Linked DNA regions of Pelodiscus sinensis. The protein of the gene in region 4 binds, or shares a complex with, the protein of the main gene of each other region. Links are inferred from orthologs where the notes say so. Each region holds a gene or a part of one and is shown on either strand. Other genes may lie near its edges.

Evidence for each region.
Region 1: CHD5 (region 4) and CDK2AP1 share a complex: the UniProt entries of both Homo sapiens proteins name them as parts of the nucleosome remodeling and deacetylase (NuRD) repressor complex. The link is inferred for Pelodiscus sinensis from reciprocal best matches to the Homo sapiens genes CHD5 and CDK2AP1.
Region 2: CHD5 (region 4) and CDK2AP2 share a complex: the UniProt entries of both Homo sapiens proteins name them as parts of the nucleosome remodeling and deacetylase (NuRD) repressor complex. The link is inferred for Pelodiscus sinensis from reciprocal best matches to the Homo sapiens genes CHD5 and CDK2AP2.
Region 3: CHD5 (region 4) and MTA1 share a complex: the UniProt entries of both Homo sapiens proteins name them as parts of the nucleosome remodeling and deacetylase (NuRD) repressor complex. The link is inferred for Pelodiscus sinensis from reciprocal best matches to the Homo sapiens genes CHD5 and MTA1.

The regions. Positions count from the first base shown.
Region 1 is NC_134725.1:31,508,524-31,515,992, reverse strand, and holds the start of CDK2AP1 (cyclin-dependent kinase 2-associated protein 1), read right to left. Parts: upstream 3,019-7,469; 5' UTR 3,004-3,018; coding exon 2,775-3,003; intron 1-2,774. UniProt on the Homo sapiens protein: Inhibitor of cyclin-dependent kinase CDK2. Also acts as a component of the histone deacetylase NuRD complex which participates in the remodeling of chromatin.
Region 2 is NC_134714.1:128,964,328-128,971,201, reverse strand, and holds the start of CDK2AP2 (cyclin-dependent kinase 2-associated protein 2), read right to left. Parts: upstream 3,011-6,874; 5' UTR 2,575-3,010; coding exon 2,481-2,574; intron 1-2,480. UniProt on the Homo sapiens protein: Acts as a component of the histone deacetylase NuRD complex which participates in the remodeling of chromatin.
Region 3 is NC_134719.1:64,828,803-64,836,479, forward strand, and holds the start of MTA1 (metastasis-associated protein MTA1), read left to right. Parts: upstream 1-4,668; 5' UTR 4,669-4,772; coding exon 4,773-4,800; exon of another isoform or gene 4,801-4,841; intron 4,842-7,677. UniProt on the Homo sapiens protein: Transcriptional coregulator which can act as both a transcriptional corepressor and coactivator. Acts as a component of the histone deacetylase NuRD complex which participates in the remodeling of chromatin.
Region 4 is NC_134733.1:23,812,356-23,819,973, reverse strand, and holds the start of CHD5 (chromodomain-helicase-DNA-binding protein 5), read left to right. Parts: upstream 1-4,612; 5' UTR 4,613-4,762; coding exon 4,763-4,820; intron 4,821-7,618. UniProt on the Homo sapiens protein: ATP-dependent chromatin-remodeling factor that binds DNA through histones and regulates gene transcription. May specifically recognize and bind trimethylated 'Lys-27' (H3K27me3) and non-methylated 'Lys-4' of histone H3.

The DNA.
Region 1 (7,469 bases), on a different chromosome or scaffold from region 4:
TGGTTTATAACCTGATCATTGTCCCTAATTCAAGACCCATCCACACACAAAAATCCCATAGCCAGAGGGTGGTGGACCTGCCTGTCTGTATAATCTGCAGCTCAAGTTAGCACAACTCATCAGCTGCTCACACAACAACTTTGGGTAGCTCCTGTTATTTTGCAGTGTGGCCACTCTTGCTGGAGCTAGACTAAGTGGAATTAACCAGAGTGTAGATAACACAAGTGAGCTCTGCAGTGAAGACACAGACTTCAGAAGCATGTCACCACAGTCTCTATAGTCCCACTTGCACCAGAAACCCTGCAGCACAGATTATCAGCACTGTTAGGGACTCCAAGTTGGCCACCTCCCCTTGAAAAACTTGACTCCTGATCACTCCAAGTTCCGATAGAGCAGCTTCTGCAGAGGTGATTTTGGGCCAAAGGGACAGATGTCCTGCTTTTTCAGCCTCTCCACAGAATACAAAGGAAAGGGAGACCCAGGTTTGGAAGCAAACCCAGGATTTGCACTTCTAGCTGAGCTGGTGGTATTTCATTAAAACACAATAGAGAAGGATCCTCCTGAAACTCAGTTTAGGGTCCAGCAAGAAAGGAAGGAAGCCATTTGCAGTCACATCATTCTCAATGCAATGTGTGCCCCTGCAAGGACTGCTTTGTCTAACTCCCTTGGCCTCAGGCCATCATGCTGGCATTGCCACTAGCTAGAGGAAGGGCTGGTGAAGGAGGGATAATGGCAGGAGACAGAGAGAAAGAGAGAGTCCATTTTGGATAACGATTCCGATATTTTTCATTTCAAAGCATCTCTGGGCAGTAAAGCTGACAATTAAGCAAGCACAAGTTAGACAGGGATAACAGGAGCACAACACTGGACTGCTGAAAAGCCACTGAGGACTAATCAAATGAAAGAATTTAAAGCTTGAATCGTGTCATGGTTTATCAGAAATCATATAGACAGAACGAGAACAACAAAAATACAGAAAAAACTTCCCAAGTTACTTAAACTAATGGTCTCAGTAACCTATTTGCCATGGTCTTAGCCGTTTCTTTCATATGAAGTGCAGTTAGCCTTGTGTTTTCCCCTCACTCCATGACGTAAGCCAAAAATCAAAACAAAAAGCTTAGTGTCCCTGCTCTTGTATGGAGGTATTTTAGAGAATGAGACAGATTGTAGTGAGAGACAAAAAGGAACAGTTCCAATGCTTGGGTTTTTTTTTTTTTTTTGGTTTTTTTTTATGGTAATACTGCTTTATTATGTCACAAAGAATCTAAGTCAGGACCATGACTTTTTTTTTTAAATGTAACATGCTGATCTCAAGCCATGATCCTTTAAATACTGACATGCATGCTGAATTTTACACACCTTGGACCTCTCATTAAAGTCAGCTAGAACAAGCTTCAAGCTATTCTCATATATAGGTGTTTGCAGGACCACGGTTGTAGTTCATGTCTTTCTTCTCTAGCCACTGATGACAAATTCCTTTCAGTAGAATGAGATCTGCTAAAATTGCAACTCTCATTGTACCATTTGGGGACTTTTAATTTCTTTAGCACATCAATACCCCAAGAACAGAATCTCAGGCAGTGCTACAAAACCACTGAAGCATATTTCCACTCCGTCTTCAAACATCAAAACTTCTCTCTCTACCCTTTTTGTTTTAAAAGTCACATTTCTTCCTGTTGATATTTTGATATCAGACCTGTAGATGCTATGCATGTGAGTGACCTGGTAAGACTAGCTTGGTTAAACACAATTTTTCCATATTTTGTTTTAGTACCACTAAGAGAGATAAATATATGGGTGATCTCCTGAAAATACCCCACTCTGGATTAATTCCTGCAACTGTGTTCTGAATTTTCTTAATTATACCCACACACACTTTCACATGCATACCCATACAAATACACACACACACACACACACTTTTACAGCAAAGTTCACAACCAAAATTATTTTTTAAATTACTATTTCCTTTGCAAATAAAAAGTTAAATCCATCAAAGTAACTTTGCAGGGGATGGAGAAGCTGGGGAATAAAAATAAACACAGACTGGGGGAAAAATAGGTTTTCTCGAACAAGAATGAAGCGCCTAACATCTCATTCTGGAGGGAGATTTATGCAACACAAATGAATCCTCTCCAAGGCACTTTGAGTGACAATCCCAGGTTACCCAACCCTGCTGGAAAAAGGGGCTTTTGCAGATCAGGGGTGAGGGGCTTTTTTCAAAGTCCCCTTAGGGTGCAGCCCTGGAGAAAGCACAGACAGGGGACAGCAAAGCCCCCAGCCCCGAAGAGCAGAGAGCAAAGGCTGCCTCGCCACACACCATGCGCGGCCAGGCACTTGCAGCGTCTGGCCAGCAGCGGTCGCGGCTGAGCCGCGAACAGAATATTCCTGATCCAGATCAATCAGCAGCCCGAGGGAGGCGATCATGGAGGAAAGCGAACGGCCGGATCAAAAGAGCTACCAACTGAGAGGCGTCGCGCGGAGGCGGCCGGCACCTGGACGCCAGCCTGGGCGCAGCGCCCCGGGGCGCCGCGGGGCTCGGAGCGGGAGCCACGCGGGGAGCCGAAGTTTGCTCCTTGGGAAGCGCAGCGCTGTTTGTGATTAGTAATAATGGCGGATATGAATCAGCTCCGAGGATCTGACCCTACGTATAGAACTGGACAAAAACTACAGTCTGGGGCTTTCCCCAGGTATTCCTGCTGCACCACAGCGCTCTTTTTGTGCCTCCAAAAAGGGCTGGAAAACTTGCCCTCCAGTTGCAATCGGAGACTTACCCTGGTTGATGGAAGTCCCAGGGAGGTGGGCGTTCAAGTTGGGCTTGTAAGACATTCCTAGAGACATTGTAAATTCAAGAAATAAAAATGTCCTGACATTCAGTGGAGCGTCTCTGTGTCTCTCAGACACTTTGGGTTGTTTACAGCGGTAGCAGCACCGGCAAATATGGCCGTCACTTATATTGACACCCACAATGCAATATATCATCCATACATCATTAGGAGACATGAATCCAAAAACTTTAGGGGAGAAAAGGAATTCACATGCCTCACAGCTACACCCAAAGCACTTTAGATTTTTTTTTTTTTTTGGAGGGGGGTAATTTTTTTATTTTATTTTATTTTACAAAGCAAACAATAGAGCTCTTTTAAAAAAACATTGTTTTTTAAATTAACTTCAGAAACTTTTGGCAGAACTTTTGGGGTGAAGGCTTAACATGTAACTTGTTAAAAAGGGTGAGCTGGGGTTTGAGGAAATGTTTCCTGAGCAATATTAAAAGGAGAAAAAAGGTTGAGTTTGTGGTGTTAGAGTGGCTTTGATGGTTTTTGTGGGAGATGAGACAATAATCTGTATTTTTTAAAATATATATAATTTTTCCAATTAATTTTAATGATGAAAAATTTCTGCTAATAAATGTTTAAGCATTTTTCTCTCAATTTTCTATATACATTCTCAAAGGGAAAAAGGTGTTTTTTTCAAAATTATTTTATATATTATATACATTTTTGTCTGACCACCAGACCAGAGGTTGAAGGTCAATATAGACTGCAATATAGCAATGAGAGTTGTAGTGAAAATAAAAATAATTTATAATGAACTGGTTTTCTGATTGCAAAGACATGGTAATGAAAAATAATTTTCCTCACAGATTTAGAATGCTAAGTTTTAAAAATAATATTTAAAAAGTCTTAGAGATCTCTGACCCCAATACTCATTCCAACAATGGATCAATTTAATTGCAACAGAGTTATCCTCCAATTAACCCACAATAGGCCTATGGCATATTCAGTTAAAGTTATTCTAGATTTACATGAGTGTAACTGATCAGAATCAGTCTTCCTACCCCTTCTAGTGGGTTCTATAATTAAACACCATGCTGGAATTTTCACATTACATGGCATTTCCATTGTAAGAGTGTTACTCTGAGAAAGCTGTGACAGTTACAATTTCTACTATTATTTTGCAACCAAATGGAGCCCAATCCTGGCTCCATTTAATGACCGCCTTCCATTGACTTACATGGTACAGAATTAGGGCTAGAGCAGTTTTCATTTCATTCATGGCTTTACAAAAGAAGGTAGGCTTGATTCCAATTTTACAGGTGCAGAAACTGAGTTGCCTGAGGTTAAATAATTTGTATAAGGTGATACAACAGCCACTACAACTCAAGTATCTACACACCACTTCCCTGTTCTACCCATGAAACACTTCAGAGCCCTTATAGGAACAATCATGGCTGAAGCCTGTGAAATAAATTAACTTGGTGTCCTGCAGTTTCATTTTCAACTCCAAATATGTAACAAGTTACTTACAGCAGTGAAGTCCAGAGTCGCGAAGGTTATTGCTTAAACATCTAGGCTGCATCTAGATTGGCATGAGTTTTCCGGAAATGCTTTTAACTGAAAAGTTTTCCATTAAAAGCATTTTCAGAACAGAGCATCTAGATTGGCACAGACGCTTTTCCACAAAAGCACTTTTTGCGGAAAAGTGTCCGTTCCAATCTAGACGTGCTTTTCCGCAAAAAAGCTCTGATCACCATTTTCGCGATTGGGGCCTTTTTGCGGAAAACAAATCTGAGCTGTCTATACTGGCCCTTTTACGCAAAAGCTTTGTGCAAAAGGGACTTTGGCCTGATCGGGAGCAGAATAGTATTTCCGCAAGAAGCACTGATTTCTTACAGTAGGAAATCAGTGCTTTTGTGGAAATTCAAGCTGCCAGTTTAGACAGCTGGCAAGTTTTTCCGGAAAAGCTGCTGATTTTCCGGAAAAACTGGCCAGTCTAGACATAGCCGTAATGCGCGCTGTACTTCATTAACACCAGGCCTGAAAGCTTAAGGCATAAAGTTAGATGCTTTTTATCCCATATTTTCAAAATGGCATCTAAAGGGTGGCTGTGCAATTTTCAAACTCAACAGGAGTCATGCGGCTAACCCCCCCCTCTCATCCAGCACTTTCCAAATTGATGCCTGATGATTCCTGAACCTTTGTTGCAGGGTTTGCACATCACTGTTTACACTGATCCCTCAAATGCTTGTAAACCTTTGCAGAACACATCATTCTTGACCTAATTTTTATGGTCCCGATTCTCCATTACCCTGACCTTCTGCAGTCATTTATACATCTATCAAGTAAATATAGAATGGAATCTTTCTGAGTTACTAGTATTCTAGTGTAAACAAATGCATGTGATGCAGGGCCTCAGAGAATTTACTTGGGACTCACATTGACAGCTTAAAAACATACAATGTTCCTATAAGAAATGTCTTTAAAATAGTGAAGACCCTATAAAATCATCTCTCTTTAAATTACAATAATACAAGGTGTAGAGGGACCCATCTATATTTTTGAGCACTCTCCCCCCCCCCCCTTTTTTTTTCCTTTCTCCACCAATAGAAAGTTTTCAATAATTTAGGGCCAGATTCTCCATCATGGACATCTCTGCAGAGTGGGTGTCTGTTGCCACTCTGCCAGAAAAGTAGGATTTTACATCCACTCTTCAATTCTCCTGCTTAGCTGTGACGACACAATGTGCTAGACCACAGAAAATCACACCCTTATCTTTTGGCACCTGTAAGACCTGTCCAGTTTAATTGGCTTGGCTGGTTATCTTTTGTTCCCAGTTTTCACTCTGGGTAGGCCCCAGAGAAATTGGCATGGGTACAACATGACCAAAAGTGTTTCCCATCTCCCTAATGGTGTGCAGTCAATGTACAATTAGTGGTCTCTTTTCACACATTTGTGGCTGTAACAAAAAATAACCATCCCAGCTGGCACTATAATCTGCTTTGTTGGCAATTTTAGCAATGAGGCCAGAGATGAATTCTCTCAGAGATATTGCCTTTCGGCCAGGCAGGGTCATGGCATGGACCCACATCCTACAGACAGAAAACATCATTTCCATTGTCCTACATTCAGCAGCTATCAAATGCAGTAACCTCTTTTCACAGGACACCCAGTAGAGATAGAAGTTGGGCATCTTCTGTACCAATATCACATCTCTGCCCTCTGAGCTGTCTGCTCACTGGTAGCAACAGTGGACTCTTGATCTTTACATAGGTCAGCCACTAGAAGGGGACATATCCTACAGAACCGATGTGTTACATGGTTTGATGTCCTCTCCCCCCCCCCACACACTCTGGAGGCAGAGATAACTTACAAAATGTGTATGTTCTTAATTTTTTTTTAATCAAGGAGAAAGGCAATAAGTTGGGCTAGTCTCCACTATTTGACAGATGATGTGGGAAAAGCTAAAGTACTCAATGCTTTTTTTGCCTCTGTCTTCACAGACAAGGTCAGCTCCCAGAGTGCTGCATTAGGCAACACAGTATGGGAAGGAGGTGGGCAGCCCTCAGTGGAGAAAGAACTGGTTAAGGACTATTTAGAAAAGTCAGACATACAGAAATCCATGGGACCTGATTTAATGCATCCAAGGGTGCTGAGGGAGTTGGCAGATGCTATTGCAGAGACATTGGCCATTATCTTTGAAAACTGGTGGACATTAGAGGAGGTCCCAGATTACTAGAAAAAGGCAAATGTAGGGCCCATCTTTAAAAAAAAAAGGGAAAAAAGACAATCTAGGGAACTACAGACTGGTCAGCCCCACCTCAGTCTCTGGAAAAATCATGGCGGGGAACCTCAAAGAATCCATTTTGAAGCACTTGGAAGAGAGGAAAGTGACCAGGAATAGTCAACATGGAATCACAAAGGGCAAGTCATGCCAGACCAATCTGATTGCCCTTCTATGACAAGATAACTGGCTCTGTGGACATTTGGAAGGCAGTGGAGGTGATACACCTTGACTTTAGCAAAGCTTTTGATACGTCTCCCACAATAGTCTTGCCAGCAAGTTAAGGAAATATGGATTGGATAAATGGACTGTCAGGTGGAGAGAAAGCTGGCTAGATTGTTGGGCCCAATGGGTAGTGATCAACAGCTCGATGTCTGGTTGGTGGTCAGTTTCAAGTGAAGTGCCCCAAGGATTAGTTCTAGGGCCAGTTTTGTTCAATATCTTTATTAATGACCTGAGTGAGGGCATGTCTGCAGATGATAGTAAGCTAGGGGGAGAGGTAGATACGCTGGAGGGCAGGGATAAGGTCCAGAGTAACCTAGACAAATTGGAGGATTGAGCCAAAATAAATCTCATAGGCTGTGTCTAGACTGCATCCCTTTTCTGTAAAAAGGGATGCAAATTATACACATCGCAATTGCAAATGAAGCTGGGATTTAAACCCCCCCGCTTCATTTGCATAAACATGGCTGCCATTTTTTCCCAGCTCGGAGCTTTGCTGGCAAAAAGCGCCAGTCTAAACGGGGATCTTTCGGAAAATAAAGCCTTTTCCGAAAGATCCCTTATTTGCAATTGTGATGTGTCTAATTTGCATCCCTTTTACGGAAAAGGGATGCAGTCTAGACACAGCCCTAAGGTTTAATAAGGACAAGTGCAGAGTCTTGCACTTGGGATGAAAGAATCCTAAG
Region 2 (6,874 bases), on a different chromosome or scaffold from region 4:
AAGATGAGAGCTGATCATCTAACTTAAGTCCAACAAGCAGACCAAACCACCACTACAGTAGAGCTTTCTTAACACATCTGCGAAAGCCAACACCCCTCCTCCCCCCAACTGTGACATTTCCTGATTTTTGCATGCTTAAAATATACAGCATCTACTTCAAAGGAAGGTGCAAGATAGTCTGCAGCAGCAGTTATGGGAGAGCCTGCCCTATGGGAGATAGTTATTTAATGTTCTAATAAGACCTGGTTCTGGCAGGGTTATCCCCAGTTAAATATCTGAGCCTTTTCTGTATCTGGCTAGTGATCTCCTAGGGCAGTGAGTGCTACAAGCTTGATCATAGATCCCTGGAGTTAAAGCAGCAAGCCTGATTTAATGCCATCCAATGTCCATGTGCCTTAAGTTATGATACAAGGGAACTACACAGTCTTCTCTAGTCCATTCAGCATTTTGTATCCTTTCATCAGCCCTCCCTCTGCCAGGCTGAACCATCCCAACCTCCTTCCAGGGCTGAGAGTTTCTTGTCACTCATCTCTGAAGCCCTTCCAATTCTTCAGTGATGGGTTGACCAGTACCGCACATCATTTGCAAAGGAGGGTGCCCCATTGAATTCCAGAAGAGCATGCCAAGGAGTTCAATAGTATTCCTCCAGTCCATTCCTCATGCCCCCACCAACTGTGTTTGCCTCTCTAAGTTGCTGCCCAGCAAACAAAAGGAATCACAAGAGTCGTACTCAGCAGCTTGGTGAGTGGTGATGGTTAATATACAGCCCAGTGAAGTGGACAGTGAGTTCAGATTAGTCCCGCCAATGTGCATTACTTAGCATCTGTCCCCCTGGAATCCCATCTGCCACGGTGCTGTTTTTTTCCTTACCATGGCAGGGCCCCTCAAAAGTGCCCTATCAGCATGACTCCCACCCAGGAACAGAACTGGCCCTTATAGTGAAATTTATCTCATTATCCATGCAGCTTTTCAGCATTTAGGCTCCTATTTCCTTAGGAGGGAGTGTGCAAGGTTTCACAGTTAACCACAGAGAAGTCAGGAACACTCAGGTCCCAGCTGTGTGCACTACCCTAACCCTCCCTACCCAGTCACCTGTATGCAGAACAAGTCTGACTTCACAATCCAAGTTCTCAAACAACATTCGGTCCTTCCGGCTCAGAGGCTACAAACACGTGCAGCACCTACTACAGACCAGCAGGCTCTGAAGTAGGTGCCCAGCAGGAGACCCAAGTTCCACTCCTTACTAAGCCATAAACCTTGGAGAAGCCAAACTCTCTCCCTACCCTCAATTCCCCTTCTGTAAGATGGGGGGCACTTGTACTTAATTTAATAATGGGCTCTCGGCCTCAGGATGAGAAGTGCTACCTAAGGACAGAGCTGATCGATCACAACGAAAGGCGAATACACCATGTCAAAGCTCCAAGGTAGCAGACACAGACCTGCCAGTGATCACATCAGCTTTTCGGTCACACAATGCCCCCCTTGGGTATCCATTCCCAGTATGACACTGTAGTACTGAAGGAGCAGCATGTGCCACTCAGCCTGTGCCAATGGAGCAGGGCAGGGGAAGAGAAGGCCCTGCGGGTGGCAGCTGTGGCACTAACTAGCAGGGGGATTCAGGATGTTGGCAGGGAACAGAATTCCTGTGAGAGCGCACTGGCGAGAGGGGGCTCACCGGTAAGCGGTGCCCCAGGGCCCTCGGAGGTTCAGTTCAGAGACTGAGTGGGCAGGCGGCCAGTTAGGGCTGTTTGAATTGGGGCTGTTCCGTGTGTGGATCGGTCAACAGCAGATAGGGGTCAATTGGGGGGGGCTGGACTGGGGCAGGGAAAATTTAGGATACAGCTCCTTGGGGGGGGGGGGAGGGGCTGGTCCCAAGGGGGTTTCTCAGGGAGAGCGGGGGCGAGTCTCTCACTAGTGAAAGGAAATGAGGGCGGTCACACAAGGGAAGTGCAGTTCCGGAAAGGGGGGGGAGGGGCTGGTCTCTCTCAGTAGGTAAGTGGGGGGGGAGAGGAAGTCCCCTCGCGTGGGGAGGGGCTGTCCCACTCGGAGGGGAGGGGAGTAGCTCGCGGAGAGCAGAGGCAATTGGGGGGGGTCACGGAGGGAGGAGCAAGGGCTCCGGGGGGGGGCTGTTCCCTGAGGAGGTTACTCCGGGGGGGAGGGAGGTTCTGGGGGGGGTCACTCCCAAGGGATTTGCTCGGGGGGGGGCTGATCGCGAGGCCGGGGGGTGTCTCCCAGGGAACAGGAGAATTCGGGGGGGGGGGGGGACGATCCCGGGGGCCTGTCGCTCCCCGGCGGGCGGGGCTGTTTCCCGGGGGGGCGATCCCGGGGGGGGGGCTCTGTCGCTCCCCGGCGGGCGGGGCTGTTTCCCGGGGGGGGTGATCCCGGGGGGGGCCGATCCCGGGGGGGGCCCTGTCGCTCCCCGGTGGGCGGGGCTGTTTCCCGGGGGGGGGAATGACCCCGGGGGGGGCTCTGTCGCTCACCGGCGGGCGGGGCCCCGGGGGCGGGGCTGGCGCTGCTGCTGGTGCCGGCGGCTCCGGAGCTGGCGGGGGCGGGCGCGATGGGCTTGTAGGACATCCCCGAGTCCCCTCCCTGACGCGGCGCGCGGCTCCTGGGCGCTGATTGGCTGCGGCTCCGGCGCGGGGCGCGTCGACTCCCGGGCTGGCGGGAGGATCCCGCACGCTGCCGCCGATTGGCCGGCCGGCGAGGCTGCTGAAGCCGATTGGGCGGCCCCGCTCACCCCTCGCCGCTGATTGGCCGCGGCCTCCCCCGTCCCGCTGGGTCCCGACGCCGCTGTCCGGCAGTGTCCTCGCGCTGGGGTTGGGAGTGGGAGAGAGAGCGCGCGCGCGCGGCCCCTTCCCGGCCCCTCGGGCGCGCGCGTTTCTGGCGCTCACCCCTCCGGCTCGCGCCCCGTCCCTCACAGGCCTGGGCCCGCCCGGCCCGGCGCGCGCCGCTGCCGCCTGGCTCGCTCGCTCGGCTCGGACCCTGCGGCGCCCGCTCGTGACGCCTGCCTCCCGCGCCTGCGTCCTCCGCCCCCCTCTGTGACGTGCGCCCCGCGTCACGGCGCCCCTTCCCTGGCTCCCGTCTCTATGGAGACCAGCGAGACGCCCTGAGGCCTAGGCGCTCCCGGCCAGCCCGGCCTCGCGTGGGGAAGCCGGCGGGCAATTGCCCGCTTAGGGCGCCGCGTGGCTGGGCGCCTGAATCAGCCTGGGGCCGGGCTGGAGCGAATCCTGCCCGGGGGGGGGGGCTGCTGTCGTGGCCTGGGAGACCCATCCCCCCCCCAGCTGTGGGAACCCAGCAGGGCGGTTTTGCACCAGGGCCCGGCCCTGGGATGCTGCAGCGCAGGCCACAGGGGTCTGCGGGAGCAGGGGGGGCTTCCCTTGGGGGGGCCCAGAGGCACGGGGGGGGCTTCCCTTGGGGGGGCCCAGAGGCACGGGGGGGGCTTCCCTTGGGGGGGCCCAGAGGCACGGGGGGGGGCTTCCCTTGGGGGAGGCCCAGAGGCACGGGGGGGGCTTCCCTTGGGGGGGCCCAGAGGCACGGGGGGGGCTTCCCTTGGGGGAGGCCCAGAGGCACGGGGGGGGCTTCCCTTGGGGGGGCCCAGAGGCACGGGGGGGGCTTCCCTTGGGGGGGCCCAGAGGCACGGGGGGGGCTTCCCTTGGGGGAGGCCCAGAGGCACGGGGGGGCTTCCCTTGGGGGAGGCCCAGAGGCACGGGGGGGGGCTTCCCTTGGGGGAGGCCCAGAGGCACGGGGGGGCTTCCCTTGGGGGGGCCCAGAGGCACGGGGGGGGCTTCCCTTGGGGGGGCCCAGAGGCACGGGGGGGGCTTCCCTTGGGGGAGGCCCAGAGGCACGGGGGGAGCTTCCCTTGGGGGGGGCTCCCCATGTAGCTGTGAGACTGGTGGCTGGGGGGGGGCTGCCCCGAGTCGCCCCTGCCATAGGCCCCGGGCGGGAGCAGGGGGCTCTGCCCGGGGCTCAGGCTGCTCTAAGTGCCGGCGCCAACTGGCCTTTCGCCCGGGGAGCCAGTTGTGTGAAGGGCGCCCGGCGCTGTGAGGGGATCCCCCCCGGGCAGCCGCTCCCTGGGCTCCTGCTCTCGTTGCTTTGCAAGGCCAGCAGCAAACCCCTCTGCACAACAGCACGGGGAGGCACCCAGCTCGATCGCCTGCATGCGCCCAGAGCTACGCACGCGCCGCACAGAGAAAGGCGCCAGCCACGGCCGCCCCGCCTTCTACCTCAGGAATAGACCTTCTTGCCCGGCTCACGGTGAGCAGAGCAAATGTATTAACTGGTTCGCCACTCGCCACACAGGTGAGGGCAGGAGAAAGGTGAAGCATGAGCCAGTGTGGTCTGTTTTATACCAGGGGTGGGCAAGATCCAGGCTGCCAAGCTATTTGATCCTGTCTGCGGCCCACCCTGCCATGCCCCTGCCCCCAGGCCCGTCGGGACTTGGGGGTGGGGGAGTGCATGAAGTCTACTCTCCCTGCCACGGGCATGTGGCATCAGAGGGAACTGCCAGCTTTTCAAAACAGCTGGTGGTTCCCTCTGGACACTCAGTGCCCTGGCACGGCAGGGGGCCAAGAGATTTCGCATGCTGTCCCACCCTGCAGGGGGAATGTGCAAAATCTCCTCTCCCCCACTCCCTTCCCTCCACCGCATGCAGTGCCCAGAGGAAACTGGCCCTTCTGCCTAGGTCCTGCCCCTTCCACCTGATGTGCCAGCCCAGAAACCATTAACAAAACTGGTTAAGTGCCCCCCCCCCCCCAACAATTATTGCCCACCTCTACCTTAGTCCATCTGCTTGGAGAACACAAGTCCAGGCAAGTCTGATGGGTATTGCTGAGTCCTGAGGCAAGGTTGAGCAATTCCCCTGATGCAGCTGTCTTACGCAGGTGAGTCATTGAATTGTTCCTTTGCTTGATAATGTCTATTGATGCTTGTTTTGACACTTGCCTGGGTTTTGGCTTCTCTCCATGCCAGCAGTTCCCAACCTTTTCCAGATGGGGACCCATTTTGACAATTCAGGAAGACTTGGTGACCCAGGACAATTCAAAAAATGTGTGAATGGCTCCTTAAGAGCCACCTGGGGAGACCCTTTTGAAATGTAATGGCGATCCATATTTGGGTCCCGACCCATAGGTTGGGAAAACCTGCTCTATGCTGTTGTCTCTGCGGAGCTAGTATCTAGAGTTGATCTTCCAACTTACATCATGTTTTCATGGCACTTGTACAAAACAATCTCAAGACTTATATGCATTAAATATATACATATGTACAGGGCTTGCCGAACCGCGGTGAGCCCCACTCGCCAGCCGCGCTGTCCGGCGATCTGCGCATGCTCAGATCGCCTGAACCCGGCTCTTCCGGGTTACAAACTACTCGCCACAGGCGAGTAGATTGTATAATTTGTCGAGCCCTGCATATGTAGATAGAACAATGATTATCAGCTGATCAGAACCTTTCCCCTGATACCTAACATGGTATGCTTTATATATCCAATATGACAATTATACATGGCCACTGACTCCGTGGGTGCTTCGGGGGGAAAACTGATGAGTGCTGAGCACCCTCCCAACAACCCCCCCATAAGCTCTCCCCCCCAGAACCTCCCACCCATAGGTTGGCCCCATGGATCATTGCCTTTGACTTCAAGCCTCACACCCACTGTGAGCAGCTGGAAAAGTGAGGATGCAGTGTGCTTAGGGGAGGGACGGGAACTGGGTAGGACGTGGGAGGATGGTGTCTTGGGGGAAGGGGTAGAGTGGGACAGGGCTTGAGGCAGAGCCAGGGGTTGGGCATCCAGCACTTTTGAAAGTCTGTGCCTGTGCAGTTATATGTAGATGAAAAATAGTTTTTGTTTTTTTTTACAAGGTGCTCCTGTAAGGTATAAAGCAGAGCTACTCACCTTTGGGAGCCCCAGGGGCCACAATGATACTCACAGCACATGCCGAGGGCTGCAACTTAAGTGTGGTTGCATATACATGCAAATACATATGCAAATAGGTTCTTTCACACTGACAGGCATGAATACAAAGATTAAGGCAAGACTACACAAGATGCAGGCCCCATTTAAGAAAGATCTGCTGATATTAATAAAATGCAGTATTTACCTGATTTCCACCCACATGACAGCACTTTTAATGAGCGATGACAGTCCAGGAATTTAACTACTAAAATGCATATCAACAGAAGACCATTATATTAACTTGCCGTTGTGGAGCGTGTTCTCAGTGGAGGTCATGTTCAAAGGATCTCACCTGCAGGTCACATGTTGAGCCCCATGTAAACCCAAACTGCACCACGAGCCGCAAATAAATGGGCCGCAGCCCGCGAGCCACATGTTGAGTAGCCCTGGTATAAAGTCTCACAACAGTAAAAATGCAAAAGTTAGCAATTTGTAATAATATGTGGCAGTGTGACACTTTGGCATGTTTATGTCTGATTTTGTAAATATATCCTTTCTGCCAACTGCAGCTGGCATCAATCAGGGACGAGTTCAATATCTAGGAGTTCCTTTTCAATAGTGCAATAAAGAACCGGCTCAAGCCTCCATCCTCCACTAACCTGGAAAAATTACTCACAAGCACAGAGTCTGGGTGTAGTAAATAAACTTTTAATAATGGGAGAAGTCATTCGACATTAATTAGAGGAAATGCCACCAGCAGGATTCATAAACATAAAACCGTGACGAGAACACCCACATCAGCACGCATGGGCAGTGCCTTCTGCCTCATGTTCTTGAGTTCTGCAACCAAAAGTTTCTGTGCTGCGCTCCCTTCTGCTCCTTCATCACTGTCCACTCACAGTGGTGGTCCTTGGTTAGTGAGGAGCCAGAGTTCAGAGGCAATTCTGTATGAACTCACCTCCCAGCCAGGAAGGAAGGCAC
Region 3 (7,677 bases), on a different chromosome or scaffold from region 4:
AGGAAGTAGCTTCAGCTGGTTCCAAGCCCAGCAGGACTGACGTGACCCTAACTACAAAGGTACTCTGGTGGCTGCCATAGTGAAGGGAGGTAACCTTGCTGAAGCTACTGGACAGCAGTTTCTCACTGTGATATTTGAAAATTCAAGTGACTTTCAATTGGACAAAACTCCTTGAGGTCAGAAGACAAGACCTAACTCTAGATGAAGCTGGTGTCTTGCTGGGATTCTTTAACTTTTATTAGATGTTTGTTACCTTGTTCACGTTGAGGGAAATGTGAGGCTGTTTCCTTACCGCTGTCGCAGAAATCCAAGCATGGAAGGCTGGGAATGATTGGAACAGATGCACTAGACGGAAACAGAGAGAGAACAGCTTCAGGAATAATTTTGGTTTTCTTTAGCTTACTACAGTTCCATGTTAGAAGAAAATAACTTTTTCCTGAGGGGTCATGATGCTAACTGCTTGGCTACGTCTACACTGGCATGATTTTCTGAAAATGCTTTTAACAGAAAAGTTTTTCGTTAAGCATTTTTGGAAAAGCACGTCTAGATTGGCAGGATGCTTTTCTGCAAAAGCACTTTTTGCGGAAAAGCGTCCGTGGCCAATCTAGACGTGGTTTTCCGCAAAAAAGCCCTGATTGCCATTTTCGCCATCGGGGCTTTTTTGCGGAAAACAGTACTGTGCTGCTTACACTGGCCCTTTTGCGCAAAAGTCTTTTGGAAAAGTCTTTTTCCCAAATGTGAGCAGCATAGTATTTCTGGAAAAGCACTGATGATCTTACATGAGATCGTCACTGCTTTTCCAGAAATTCAAGCGGCCACTGTAGATAGCTGGCATGTTTTTCCACAAAATCATCTGATTTTGCGGAAAAACTTGCCAGTCTAGACACAGCCCTTGGGTTTAGGAAGGAGTTCTACTTGCATGGGTATAATATTACTTAATTGGTCCATTTGGGGCCAATTTCAAGCATCCTGGCCCCAGTTGAGTGGAGGAATAGATATCTGTCATCTAATAATAAGCTAGGGTCAACTGTGAACCCTGTAGGCCACTAACATAGTCAAACACTTCGGCAAAGGTCAAGCATATTCCATAAGGTGACCAGATCTACTTTAAAAGGACAGACTAGTATTTAGACTCTTACAGGTGTCCTGACTTCTTGAAAATGGGCAAATTGTCTTGTGTGTTCTGATTTCCTCCCTCCCTCTCCCCCAGTACTGGCCAGTCCTGCTGCTGAGTTCAGTGGCTGATGATGGAACCGGGTGCAGCATGTGGGGCTGGCCGCTCCTCCTGCTAATCCACCAGTGCTGTTCTTGCTGCATGCCGGCTCTTGGGGAGCAGCCCTGTCCTCCCGACCTCCCATTTGTGGCCAGCAATAGCTGTGCACTATGGGGGCCGGTGCCTGCAGGCAGGCAGCTACGTGTCATCTCTGCTGCCCACTCATCAGCTCTTTACATGCTGCCCCTCACTGTCCTCTCTTGCTGTGCCCCTTTGCCCTCCCCTACCAGCCCCACTGTTCCTCCACCCCCCACAGTCCTGGGTCGGTGCACTCAGCTCACCAACAGCTTGGTGGGCAGGCTCCATCCTTCCCCTTCTGCTCTGGCAGGGCTGGGGCCTGGGAAAGCTCAAGCCCCTCCCACCCAGTGTGTGGGCCAGGAGGAGGGTCAACTAAGCTCTGGAGCAGGAGAGGGGAGCGAGTCCCCGGTATGCACAGTGCTCCTGCAGGCTCTGCAACAGCAGCCCTTCCCCTGCTGCCCTACCCTGGCACCTGGTCCCCTAGGCACCCTCCTCTCGGGCCAGATTGTCTGAAGTAGGGATGTGAGCGTGTAGTCGATGGTCCGATAAGCATAAGCCTATTGCATAGTCGACTAGTGATGAGACTAGTTGCTTCCCCCCGTTCACTGCCTCTGGCAGAGGCAGCAAGGGCTGTGTGTGCAGGAGCCGGTGCTGGAGGAGAGCTGGCTAAAGCTGGTTCCCCCCAGCACCGTCTCCGTGGGGGGGGGGGGGGGTAGAGGCACAGTAGGAAACAGAGAGAGCAGGACTGATGCAGTCTCCACTCCCACCGCTTCTGCTGCGATTCTGCTTTTGAAATTGTCGTTATACTGGGCTCTTGTACAGTTCAAAAACTGAAGCCCTGTGGGGAGCTGGGGCAGGCCAGTGGGGACTCCCCTACTGGCCCCAGGCTCCCTATGGCACCTGAGCCTTTGAAATGTACAAGGAATGTACTAGCCTTTGAAATGTACAACCCACAGGGCTTCTTGTATATTTCAAAGGCTGAGCCAGGGCAGGGAGCATGGGCCAATCCCCTGCTGGCTCCGTGCTTCCTGTGTGGTTTCCGAGCTGGCTCTTGCTACAGTTCAAAGGCCGAGCGCTCTTATAGACTAATCGGCTAGTCGATGGAAATCCTATTGACTATTCAATTAGTTAGTTAATCTAAATTTAACTTCCTTCGGCTGAAGCCCCTGCAGTCAGGTTCACTGGATGCTGGCGCACAGGGCAGCCTTAGGGCTTAACCGTTTCCTGTCCATGCTGTAGTTGGGGGACAGGAGCTGGGTGGGTTTTGTCAGTGGCCAGCAGCAGCCTGGAGGTGTTAGCTGCCTTTCAACACTGGGCGGGAAGAAACAAGATGCTTCCAGCCACAGAGGAACAGGGTAGGTGGCGGGGGGAAGATGGCCAGGTCATCGTTTCCCTCCCGCACAGTGCTGCAAGGCTGCTGCTGGCCACCTTCTGGTGTGAACCCCAGCAGCAATCTGGGGACGGGAGCATGTGACCCTGTGTGCTCCTCCCCACAACTTGCCCTGGGCTTGCTGTGCCAGCTCCCTGGAGCGGTGGGTCCATCTGGAGCCCCAGCCAGACATGGAGGGTTGGATCAGTCAGTCATCTCGAGAGGTGGATGGCGGTGTGTGTGTGTGTGTGTGTGTGTGTGTGTGTGTGTGTGAGTGACCTTGTCACGTATGAACCCTACAGCCTTAACGATAGCAGGTCATTCAAAAGATTCCAAGGGAGCACTATTCCTTTCTTTCAGGAAGGGGCAGTCACCCTGACGTTAATTTGAATGTGAGTCCTGCATAGTTGTGACGGGTTGCCTTTGAACTTGCTTAAATATGAGTAATTTTACCAGGTGTCCCGTATTCAGCGCAGGGAAATATAGTCACTCCTTCCGGCAGTGGTGCGGTCCCAGCCTCCCTCCATACATTGATGCTTCCCTTCTGCCTCCATCTCAGCTGGACAGTGGTGTAATCAGCTTCTGTCAGTCTCTGCTGGGCAGGCAGGAGGCAAAGAATGATGCTGTATAGTACGAGCGCCTAGGCAAAGAGCTGTAGTGCCTCGTATTCCCGCTTGCAACCCTTGCCCCTTTCCAGAGTCTGCTGGGTGCCTGTCCTCAGTGCCGGCTGCCCCAGCACAGCAGGGCCCCACTTGCTGTCCGCCGCAGGGTGTGGAGCAGGTGTGATCTGGCCGAGGGCAGAGGATGGCAGCTGGGGCCCTGGGGATGGATGAATCCATCCCTAAGGCTACCACTGTGCCCCATTCTCCTGCCTCCTTCCCAGCCCATCCCCCTAGCGCCACTTCCCACTGCCCTATTCCCCTTGCCCACCACTTCCCTCTCAGCCTCCCTGCTGCCCCTTCCCCTCAGCTCCCTCTCCCCCCACTAGCCAGCCCGTACTGCCCCTGCCCCACTTCGCTCCTACCCGCCCTCTCGCCACATTGCCTCCCCCCCCGGCTCCAACCTGCCCCCCATTATCCCCCTGGCTCCAACCTGCCCCCCCCATTATCCCCTTCGGCTCCAACCTGCCCCCCATTACCCCCTCCCCCCTCAGCTCCAACCTGCCCCCCATTATCCCCTCCCCCCTCAGCTCCAACCGCCCCCCCATTATCCCCCTCAGCCCTAACCTGCCCCCCCATTATTCCCTTCAGCCCTAACCTGCCCCCCCACATTACCCCTCCCCCCTCGGCTCCAACCTGCCCCCCCATTATCCCCCTGGCTCCAACCTGCCCCCCCATTATCCCCTCCCCCCTCAGCTCCAACCTGCCCCCCCATTATCCCCTCCCCCCTCAGCTCCAACCTGCCCCCCCATTATTCCCCTCAGCCCTAACCTGCCCCCCCACATTACCCCTCCCCCCCGGCTCCAACCGCCCCCCATTATTCCCCTCAGCCCTAACCTGCCCCCCCACATTACCCCTCCCCCCGGCTCCAACCGCCCCCCCATTATTCCCCTCAGCCCTAACCTGCCCCCCCACATTACCCCTCCCCCCCGGCTCCAACCGCCCCCCCGTTATTCCCCTCAGCCCTAACCTGCCCCCCCACATTACCCCTCCCCCCCGGCTCCAACTGCCCCCCCGTTATTCCCCTCAGCCCTAACCTGCCCCCCCACATTACCCCTCCCCCCCGGCTCCAACCGCCCCCCCGTTATTCCCCTCAGCCCTAACCTGCCCCCCCACATTACCCCTCCCCCCCCGGCTCCAACCGCCCCCCCGTTATTCCCCTCAGCCCTAACCTGCCCCCCCACATTACCCCTCCCCCCTCAGCTCCAACCGCCCCCCCGTTATTCCCCTCAGCCCTAACCTGCCCCCCCACATTACCCCTCCCCCCTCAGCTCCAACCGCCCCCCCGTTATTCCCCTCAGCCCTAACCTGCCCCCATTGGCCCCTCCCCCGGCTCCGACCCGCCCCGCCCGGCGCGGCCCCTTTAATTCCCCTCCCCCTCCCGGCCGCTCCAGCCTCCATTTTCCAGCGGATCCGGCACCTGGAGGCGGCGCGGGAGCGGCCCGGCCCGGGCATGGCCGCCAACATGTACCGGGTGGGAGGTAGGGCCGGGGGGGGGCAGGTGTAGAACGCGGGGGGGCCGGGAGCAGCGGGGGGGCAGGTGTAGAACGTGGGGGGGCTGGGGGCAGCGGGGGGGCAGGTGTAGAACGCGGGGGGGTTGGGGGCAGCGGGGGGGCAGGTGTAGAACGCGGGGGGGCTGGGAGCAGCGGGGGGGGCAGGTGTAGAACGCGGGGGGGCTGGGAGCAGCGGGGGGGGGCAGGTGTAGAACGCGGGGGGGCTGGGAGCAGCGTGGGGGGCAGGTGTAGAACGTGGGGGGGCTAGGGGCAGCGGGGGGCAGGTGTAGAACGTGGGGGGGCAGGTGTAGAACGCGGGGGGGCTGGGAGCAGCGGGGGGGCAGGTGTAGAACGCGGGGGGGCTGGGAGCAGCGGGGGGGGGCAGGTGTAGAACACGGGGGGGGCTGGGAGCAGCGTGGGGGGCAGGTGTAGAACACGGGGGGGCTGGGGGGCAGGTGTAGAACGCGGGGGGGCTGGGAGCAGCGTGGGGGGCAGGTGTAGAACGTGGGGAGGCTGGAGGGCAGGTGTAGAACGCGGGGGGGCTGGGAGCAGCGTGGGGGGCAGGTGTAGAACGTGGGGAGGCTGGGGGGCAGGTGTAGAACGCGGGGGGGCTGGGAGCAGCGTGGGGGGCAGGTGTAGAACGCGGGGGGGCTGGGAGCAGCGTGGGGGGCAGGTGTAGAACGCAGGGGGGCTGGGAGCAGCGTGGGGGGCTGGCGGGAGATGGGAGTGGGGTAGAATCTGGGGTGCATGTGGGTTGGGGGTCTTAGGGCTGGGGCAGAGTGCAGAGTTGGGTTGTGGGCAGAATTGGGGCTGGCAGGGGATGGGGGACTCTGGGGCAGTGGGTCGTAGGGATGGAGTAGAATGTGGGGCTTGGAGTTGTGGGGGCTGACATGTTTTGAGGTTGTGGGCTGGATGCTCTGGGGGGGAGCAGCTAATGTGTGTGGGGTTGTGGGTAGGTCTGGATGGGGTGTGCGGGAGAGGGTAGGGCTGGATGGGGTGCGCGGGACGAGGTTAGGGCTGGATGGGGTGTGCGGGATGAGGGGTCGGGAGAGGGTAGGGCTGGATGGGGTGTGTGGGATGAGGGGTCGGGAGAGGGTAGGGCTGGATGGGGTGTGTGGGATGAGGGGTCGGGAGAGGGCAGGGCTGGATGGGGTGTGCGGGATGAGGGGTCGGGAGAGGGTAGGGCTGGATGGGGTGTGCGAGACGAGGGTAGGTCTGGATGGGGTGTGCAGGATGAGGGGTCGGGAGAGGGTAGGGCAGGATGGGGTGCGCGGGACGCGGGTGGGGCTGGATGGAGTGCGCGGGACGAGGTTAGGGCTGCATGGGGTGTGTGGGATGAGGGGTTGGGAGAGTGTAGGATTGGATGGGGTGCGCAGGATGAGGAGTCGGGGGAGGGGAGGGTTGGATGGGGTGCGCGGGATGAGGGGAGGGTTGGATGGGGTGTGCGGGATGAGGAGTCGGGGGAGGGGAGGGTTGGATGGGGTGCGCGGGATGAGGGTAGGGTTGGATGGGGTGTGTGGGATGAGGGGTTGGGGGAGGGGAGGGTTGGATGGGGTGCGCGGGATGAGGGTAGGGCTGGATGGGGTGTGCGGGATGAGGGGTCGGGAGAGGATAGGGCTGGATGGGGTGTGCGGGATGAGGGGTCGGGAGAGGGCAGGGCTGGATGGAGTGTGCGGGATGAGCGGTCGGGAGAGGGCAGGGCTGGATGGAGTGTGCGGGATGAGGGGTCGGGAGAGGGTAGGGCTGGATGGGGTGTGCGGGATGAGGGGTCGGGAGAGGGCAGGGCTGGATGGGGTGTGCGGGATGAGCGGTCGGGAGAGGGCAGGGCTGGATGGGGTGTGCGGGATGAGCGGTCGGGAGAGGGCAGGGCTGGATGGGGTGTGCGGGATGAGGGGTCGGGAGAGGGGCAGGGCTGGATGGGGTGTGCGGGATGAGGGGTCGGGAGAGGGTAGGGCTGGATGGGGTGTGCGGGATGAGGGGTCGGGAGAGGGCAGGGCTGGATGGAGTGTGCGGGATGAGGGGTTGGGAGAGGGCAGGGCTGGATGGAGTGTGTGGGATGAGCGGTCGGGAGAGGGTAGGGCTGGATGGGGTGTGCGGGATGAGGGGTCGGGAGAGGGCAGGGCTGGATGGAGTGTGCGGGATGAGGGGTCGGGAGAGGGCAGGGCTGGATGGAGTGTGCGGGATGAGCGGTCGGGAGAGGGTAGGGCTGGATGGGTGTGCGGGATGAGGGGTCGGGAGAGGGTAGGGCTGGATGGAGTGTGCGGGATGAGCGGTCGGGAGAGGGTAGGGCTGGATGGGTGTGCGGGATGAGGGGTCGGGAGAGGGCAGGGCTGGATGGAGTGTGCGGGATGAGGGGTCGGGAGAGGGTAGGGCTGGATGGGGTGCGCGTTATGAGGGTAGGGCTGGATGGGGTGTGCGGGATGAGGGGTCGGGAGAGGGCAGGGCTGGATGGAGTGTGCGGGATGAGGGGTCGGGAGAGGGTAGGGCTGGATGGGTGTGCGGGATGAGGGGTCGGGAGAGGGCAGGGCTGGATGGAGTGTGTGGGATGAGGGGTCGGGAGAGGGTAGGGCTGGATGGGTATGCGGGATGAGGGGTCGGGAGAGGGCAGGGCTGGATGGAGTGTGCGGGATGAGCGGTCGGGAGAGGGTAGGGCTGGATGGGGTGTGCGGGATGAGGGGTCGGGAGAGGGCAGGGCTGGATGGAGTGTGCGGGATGAGGGGTCGGGAGAGGGTAGGGCTGGATGGGGTGCGCGTTATGAGGGTAGGGCTGGATGGGGTGTGCGGGATGAGGGGTCGGGAGAGGGCAGGGCTGGATGGAGTGTGCGGGATGAGGGGTCGGGAGAGGGTAGGGCTGGATGGGGTGCGC
Region 4 (7,618 bases):
GGGATGTGCGGGATGAGTGTTTTCAGGTTTACTGGTCTTGAAGCCTTGAAATAGACAGCACTTGAGTTTCATTCCCACCCAGTGAGTGTGGCAGCAGAACAGCTGTACTTCTGCCAGCAAGCTGTGACCAGCTTCTCTCTGAGTAAAGCAGTTTGGCAGGATCTTGTACTTGGAGTCTGAGACTGTTGAGTTCTTATGTATTTATTCTTCTAGGCGTTAGTTCTTTAAATATATTTCAGATAACGGACAGTGCTGATGCACTGAGAGAACCTTACCCTGTAATTGAACTTTTTCTTTATTATCCAACAGAAAACCTCACTCCTAGAAACAGAATCCTAAGTAAGTTCATTTGAAGCCCAATTACTTGACAGGGAGTGCGTTTTAAAGTGTCGATCCTGTCCATGTGTCATGCTCAGCTTCTGTAGTAACACCTTTGGTTTAAAAAAGTATCATTACAGAACTAATTACCATAAACAAACACTATTTGCATAAGTGTGCTTTAGTCAAGATGGCTTGTAATTAATGGATATTCCTTTCTCTCCGTTTCTCTGGCACACTGAGGCTACATCTATACTGCACTCTTCTTGCGCAAAAGCCTATGCAAATGAAGCACGGATTAGCATAGTGCAGCGCTTCAGTTACATAATTAGGGGCTGTTTTTCCTGAAAAAATGAGGAATGGCTCTTGTGCAAGAGGGGGGTTTTGCGCAAAAAGGAGCCATCTACACAGCTTTTTGCACAAAAGCCGCTTGCGCAAAAATTGCCCCAATTAATTATGCAAATGAAGTGTGGCAATATGCTAATTTATGCCTCATTTGCATAGGCTTTTGCGCAAGAAGAGTGCAGTATAGACGTAGCCTCAGAGAGAAAAATGTGGGGGGTATTTATGGGGCAATGTTATCAACTTCTCACCCGTAAGACATTTGGTATTTGTGTCACATTCAGATGAGTTTTGTTCTTTAGTAGACGCCTGGGAAGACAACTTGAGCTGTCCAGTGTGCCGGGCGGGGACGTAATCGCTAAAACTCCTAGAGGTTACATGGCTGCGTGTGCTGCAGGCTCTGCACTGTAAAGCTAAGTAAGGACTGCCGGCTCCGCTCCTACGGAGGCTTTGCTGTGGGCTCTGCAGCTGGTGCTTCAGGAGAAGGGCCCATGGCCCCTGCTGGCCCCACTCCCAGGGAGCCAGTGTGTAACCTGCAGTGGGGGAGCTTCTGGCCATCCAGAGTAGCCCCTGCCTGCCCTAGGACTCGCAGGGCTGGACACCGGCCCTTTCCCAGGAGCGGGTGGGGAGCTGCTCCAGCCCCTGCCGGTTAACTGCAACGGTTAAGCCTCACCTGTTTAGTTTACGTCCCTAGTGCAGAGTAGGAGCTGGATATGGGACTCTTCAGCTTTATTTCCATCTCTGACCCAGAATGGCTGTGACCTTGGGTAAATCGCTTTGGGTCCGTCTTTACACACTCAACTTCCATTGGTTTAATGAAAACTAGTAAATTACTGAATTTGCCTAAATTGATGTATGCCAGTTGTGCGTGCCTTTCCTGTTAGTAGGTGCACACTGGTTTAACTGAATGGATTTAAAAATACTTCATAGTTAAGCTGGTACAAAGCTTGCTTGCCTGGTGGCTGTGTTGTGAAGCTTAATGAATATTTTTGTGAAGCATTTTGAGATCCTTGGAGGAAGTGTAGCACATTCTCCTGTCCCCATCAGGCCCCATTGGGGTGATGGGATTCAATGCTCGGCGTTCTAGCATACACACTGAATTCCACTGAGACCTGCTGGAGTTCATCAGGCTTTTGTTGCAGTCTTTTATCATGGCTTGTTAATTTGGATCTCAGTTTTGAAGTATTTTTCCTTTACAAAACAACGCCTCCCCCTTCAAAAAAGAGGATTTTAACCTTATTTTATGTATTACTAACGAAGAGCCATCTGGTCAGGTTCATGACAAAGTCTTCAGAAACGCACGTTTTGTAATGTGTCCTGAAACTTGCAAACGGTGGCCTTTGTTGGGATGCCAGTGAAGTGTTTCGCAGCTGTGATCGGCCTGCTAGTTTGCCAGGACAATGAAGGTCAGAGATGATCAGCACTGGATCCAGCAGTCCTAATCGTCTTAGGGTTAGGACTTGTCTATAAAGTGGCATGAGCCAAACCAAGTGGATTTTAAATGTATCTCGTTAGACTGGTGCAGCTTTTCTAATGTAGACAAAACCTTTCACTTTTGGGCCTAACACCGTCACCGACAGCCAGGAACGCAATGGGAATGGAGCGCGTGCCGAGAAGCACAGATGCAATGTTTGACCTTCTGCTTTGGAGGGAAATGGCTGAGCTCTGCACCAGCTGCCTCTTCAGTGGCAGCCCATTGCAGTCGCCATCTTGGAAGGTCATGCAGGTGACTCACTATATTCAGTCATGGCGCTTTTAGTGCTCACCCAGGACAACATAGCAAGTCATTTTCATGCCCTGAACATATGGGGCTTGAATAGGGCTAACTGAGGCTTTCTCCCCCATTTGATTTGTCCAGAGCAGTTTCCACATTTTTTCCTGAATTGTTGGTTTTGCTGAAAGCTTGAACTCAGTCAAAATAAATGTAAGAACTTTTTAATGAGTTTGTTGTTAGACTTCCTCTGTGTTGACCGTTAAAAATGGGTCCACTATGCACTAGGGTAGAAGTACATGTGGGGGAAACTTCCTAGCAGGGCTACGGTGATTGGTTTGGTTTAACATTAGTCTTCCATCTGGGCAGACCTTTTCCTTAGTTCTTTGGTGTGTGTGAAAATGGCCCAGGTTACAGCCAGCCGTATTAGTTGGCAATCTGCAAACTTTGCCCAAATTTGACGGTCAGTTCTGGTCTGCATCATCTCAGCGTCTCTAGTTTTAGGCTTCGCTTGAGCAGCAGTGAAAAGGGGGAGGGAGGCATGTTCTGATTTGTGTGAACAGGGAATCTGGATCCAGGGCTTCTGATAATGCAAAAACTAGTGTCTCTAGCTATACAGGCACCTTCCCTCCTCCGTGATGCTCCGGTGCCAGCAACCAGATGGGTTCTAGAGCTTAGAGATACGCAGGCACAGACAGCCTAGCCTCAGTCCTTTCGCCGAATAGTAATGCAGAGGGATGCAGGGGCTTGTATTTAGAAACCTGGAGTATTCCCGTGTTCGGGGTTTTTTTAAGCTGTGGCTAATCCTTTCAAAGAAAAGGAAGAATAAAAATATCATGTAAAGGCAGCGATCAGATGTGCCCGGTCTCTTTTAATAAATAGGATGTGGGAGTCATTTCAACAGAATGCTCACTTCTTAACTAGGCTTTTTCAACTTTCTCTTGCTGAATTTGATGCAAAAGTTTGAGTTGCTGTGTCCTTTTCCTGCAAAGCTTTGTGACTTTATTCATTTGAACCAGGAGTAATATGTTATGACACTGAAAAGAAGCTAGGCTGCAGGTCCTACACAGTAACAAAATGTACAATTTGTTTTAAAACAGCCACCACATAGGAACAAAAGATGAGCGCAACAAAAGATGAAGAACAAAAGATGCGCCATATTAAATCATGCTTTTGGCTGGTGGGATGAGGGAGGTCATGCCCCACGGCCAGCAGGTCAGTGGATTAGGACTAGTGTTACCTAAGCGCTTTGAGTGAATTATTCAGAAATGCAGATGTTGTTTATAAAGCTAAGAAATGAGCCAGTGGGCCAATGTCAGAGGCTGGGCTCCGGCTAGGGCTTTTCTGGCTATTGCCTTCAGTTTCCCATGGGGGCTCATGGCTTAAGCACCCCCTGCCCAGCCCTCCAGGATAATATCTTAGGGGTGCTCTGTGAGGTCAGTAGCCAAGCTGTCTCCTTTCCTTTGGGCCTGGTAGGCATGTATGGGTCCACAAGGCAGGGTCTCTGGCCAGGAGGAATCCAGCTGTGGGGGCTTCCCTTCCAGGCTGCGTCCTGATAATGAAAGGGAACAGCACAGGCTGCCCTAGGGGATGGAAGGAGCCCCGAAGAGCTTACTGGCTGCTGCTGGTTCTTGGAAGCAGGGAACTCTGCAGGTGCTTAGCTGGGCCCTGTCCCTGACTTTTCCCTGCATCCACCCTGGGCTGCTAGCCAGGTGCTAGGGGAGGCTAAGCATTCAGGATCTGGAGGGTCAGATCTGGCTGGGATGCAGCTGTGTTGCCTGTCCCCTTCCCAGCCAGCCTCGCCCCTGGGCACAGGAGCCCTGCCAGCGGTGCAGTGGCCGGGCGTGATGTCCAGTGTCAGGAGTGTACTGTGCCAGGGGTGTGATGTGGAAACGGGGGATGGGCGTGGGGGGGGGGTGCCTCTCGCAGACAAAGCCCTGGATAAGCAGACTACCCCCCCAGCTGCAGCCTTGGGTGAGGGTGCTTGCCACGCCTGCCCCCCCCGCCCCTGGCGTGCAGCGAGCGCCCAGCCTGCCCCCCGCACCCCGCGAAGGACGGGTGCCCAAACGATGGGATGCGGTTGCCGGGGCAACCAGACTGGACGTCACAATGTGGGCATGTGTAATCCCGGGGAGGGGGGGCTGGGTGCGTGTCTCCCTCCTGCGCGCTGCGGGCTGGCGGGGCCGGCGCGGGGGCGGGGGCGGGAGGAGCGCGGGGGCGGGGGCGGGCAGAGGGAGAGGGAGAGGGAGAGCCCTCCTTAAAAAAAAAAAAAAAAAGAAAAAAAAAAAGGAAAAAAAAAAAAAAGACCCGGGGCCGCCGCAGCCATCTTCGCGCGGAGCAGCCTCACCCTGCGCCGCGCAGCCCGCGCCCGGCAGGTGGGAGCCCGCGGGCATGCGGGGGCCGGCGGGGGAGCCGCGGGACGAGACGGAGAACGAGGAGGACATGTCCGGTAGGCGGCGGGCAGGAGGCTGCGGTGATGGGCGCCGCGCGGGCAGGGCCGGGGTGGGGATGGGAGGCGGGCGCCGAGCCCCGGGGCGGGGGGCTGCGGGAGCTCGGGGCTGCCGAGGACTCTGCCTTGCCGCGGAGCGCGGGTCCAGGCACCTGCCCCTCTGCCCGGGAGGGACGGAGCCCAGGCGATGTGGCTCCGTGGGCAGCTGCTTTCTGAGGCTCGCCTGCAGGCGGGGGGCTGGGCCGGGGCCCCCCTGATGGGCCCCCCTTGGGAGCATGCAGCGGGGCGGGGAGCCTCCCCCCCAGCGCCCTGCCCCTCTGCCCAGGCAGCCCGGAGCGGGCGAGGGGGGTGCCAAGCGCTAGAGGCGGGTTTTCGGAGGTGCTGATCCCCCTCCCCAGCAGCATCACTCTACGGGAGCTGCGGGAGCTCAGCGCCTTTGAAGATCTGTGACTTCTGCTCTCCTCCCCCGCTGCCTAACAGCCCTGCCTGGGGTGAGTAGCCCAAGGCCTAAGGAACTGGCTGAAACCGCCTGGCTGCCTTGGACTGCTCCTTCCTTCCTTCCTCTCTTGGTCCTTTTTCTACTGGAGAGAAACTGACCCCACTTGTTAGAGCTAAGCCAGGTGGTAGCTGGCTACCTACCAGGGATGGGAAAGGTTAACCGGGACTTGAATGGATGATGTGTATTGGTGCTGGTTAACTGGTAACCCTGCCTCCGCTTCATCAGCCAACCAGTTAAAGATTAGGTGGGCCCAACATGTCACTGGTTAACTGATGAACCGGGATGCTACCTCCCTACTTTGTGCCCTGTCCACATGGGGTGTGGCAAGGGGCTGTCTGGCCTGGTTCCTGTTCCGGGCTGACTCCGTTTCTACATCTTCCCTACTGTAGACTTTTTGGCCCCGTTCTTTGACAGGGGTGGTGACTCTGCCTACAGCTCACCACCCCCCGGCTCTCTCTGCCTAGACTCTCTGAATGTTTCTTGGGTGCCTAGTCTAAACTTTCCTTTCTTCCTCTTTTCCTTACATTTGCAGTGACCTGGAAGGGGTTAACGGGCGGTTCTGGTGTCTCCTCTGTCCTCTTTCCCAGCCTTTGTAGGTTTACCTCCCTCATTCTCTCCACTGGTGGTTTATCTGTGATTCTTGTATCACTTTTACCTCCCTTTGTTTTTCTTGAGGTTGGTCTGTATCCTGGGGTCTACAGCTGTGCTGGGGCATTCAGGCCAACAGACTCATTTCAGTTGAGCCCAAACCTGGTTTGTTGAACAGCAGCTGAAAGACTTTTGTTTACCTGGTTTGTTTTTCCTACTTAACCCACTTTACCTGGCTGTGCCTGCCACCTCTGACACCCACCTGCTCTGCTGACAGGCGTGCTGCATATCTTCTGGGTAAAAAGCAGCTGCTGCACTAGCAGGCGTTTCAGGAGCTTGCTAAGACAGAGTCTTTCTTGGGCTGGGCCAGCAAGGTCCAGGGTAGGATTCAGGGGGGCTGGGTAAGATGTCAGGGCTGTCAATGGAACAGAGCTGACACAGCATTTGTCAGGAGGCGAGGGCAGGGAATCGGTTAGCTAAAGGCCTGGCTTACACAGGGAGGCTTATTCATTGTAAGACCGATAGCTGAGCACAGAGAGATGGATTCTGTAGTTGGGACACAGACATAGGAGGAATCTGCCTAGCTCTTGGCTAGACAGAGGGGGGCCAGCAGGGAGCCAGGCCCTCCCAGGTCAGCAGGGTCCAGAATTCCTCTGGGGCTGGGCTAGGGCGAGGGAGCGCCCAAGGCTGGGGCAGGAAACGAAAGCTCCGCCGGCCCTGGGTTGTGGAGGGAGGGAGAGCCAGCTTCCCGGATGGGACAGTGGGGGGGCAGCTCCTCTCGGTGTGGGGTGTGTGCACAGAAAGTACCCCTCTGAAAGTGGCCAGATATGTATTCCTGTACACATGCCTGCTTGGGGCTAATGTCTTCAGTTTAACTCTGCATGAATATGGGCTAACGTGCCTAGAGCAGGGGTGGGAACCTTTTTTGGGTTAGGGGCCCCACAGAGAAATCAGTTGGGGCCACACACGAGTGAGAAGCAAAAAAAAAAAAAAAAAAAAAAAGCAGAAAGACTTTCCCCACATTCCCAACGCACACCAGAGCTGAGGGGGCCCAGGCTGGCAGCTTTGTGTGCTCCAACCCCACAGTGGGGAGACAGAGAGGCTGGAGCGCCAGCGCGGGTTCCCCAATGCTGGGGGAGGAAGCCCTGAGCCTCAGGGGCAAGATCCAGGCAGGTCAGGAGATATGTATGGTCTTCATTGGGAATTCCTTATGTGTGACATCTTCCTGCAGAACTGCACAGAATTACCTTGCTCACTCTGGGTGTGTAGTTCTTGGTTTTTTCAGTGTTGGGGTTTTTAAGGAAAAAGTGTCTACATGTACATAGAGGCTGATGTATTATGCACCAAAGCTACATCCACAAACTAAAACACTCGTATTGCATCTGTTAACGTAGCCACATTGGCCAAATTCATGCAAGCACAAAATGGCTAAAAATCCACCCAAGCCAGTGGAGTTGTGCTTGTTTATGCCAACAGGGCCAGATTTACCACTCTGCAGGGAATCCTCACCAGGGTCACACAAATCTCACCGTGCTGCCTTCTGCACAAGGGTGGATTCTACCCATGGCGAGCGGGGTCCATGCAGTGCCGCTCGTTTTCTTACATTGCTAAAGTGGACATTCTCCTGAGCGGAAAGCCCGAGCACACCCATTTAACGGCGAGCAATGCTATCGGAGAGAATCGGATTTCCTGGAAAATAGGGGCTGATCAT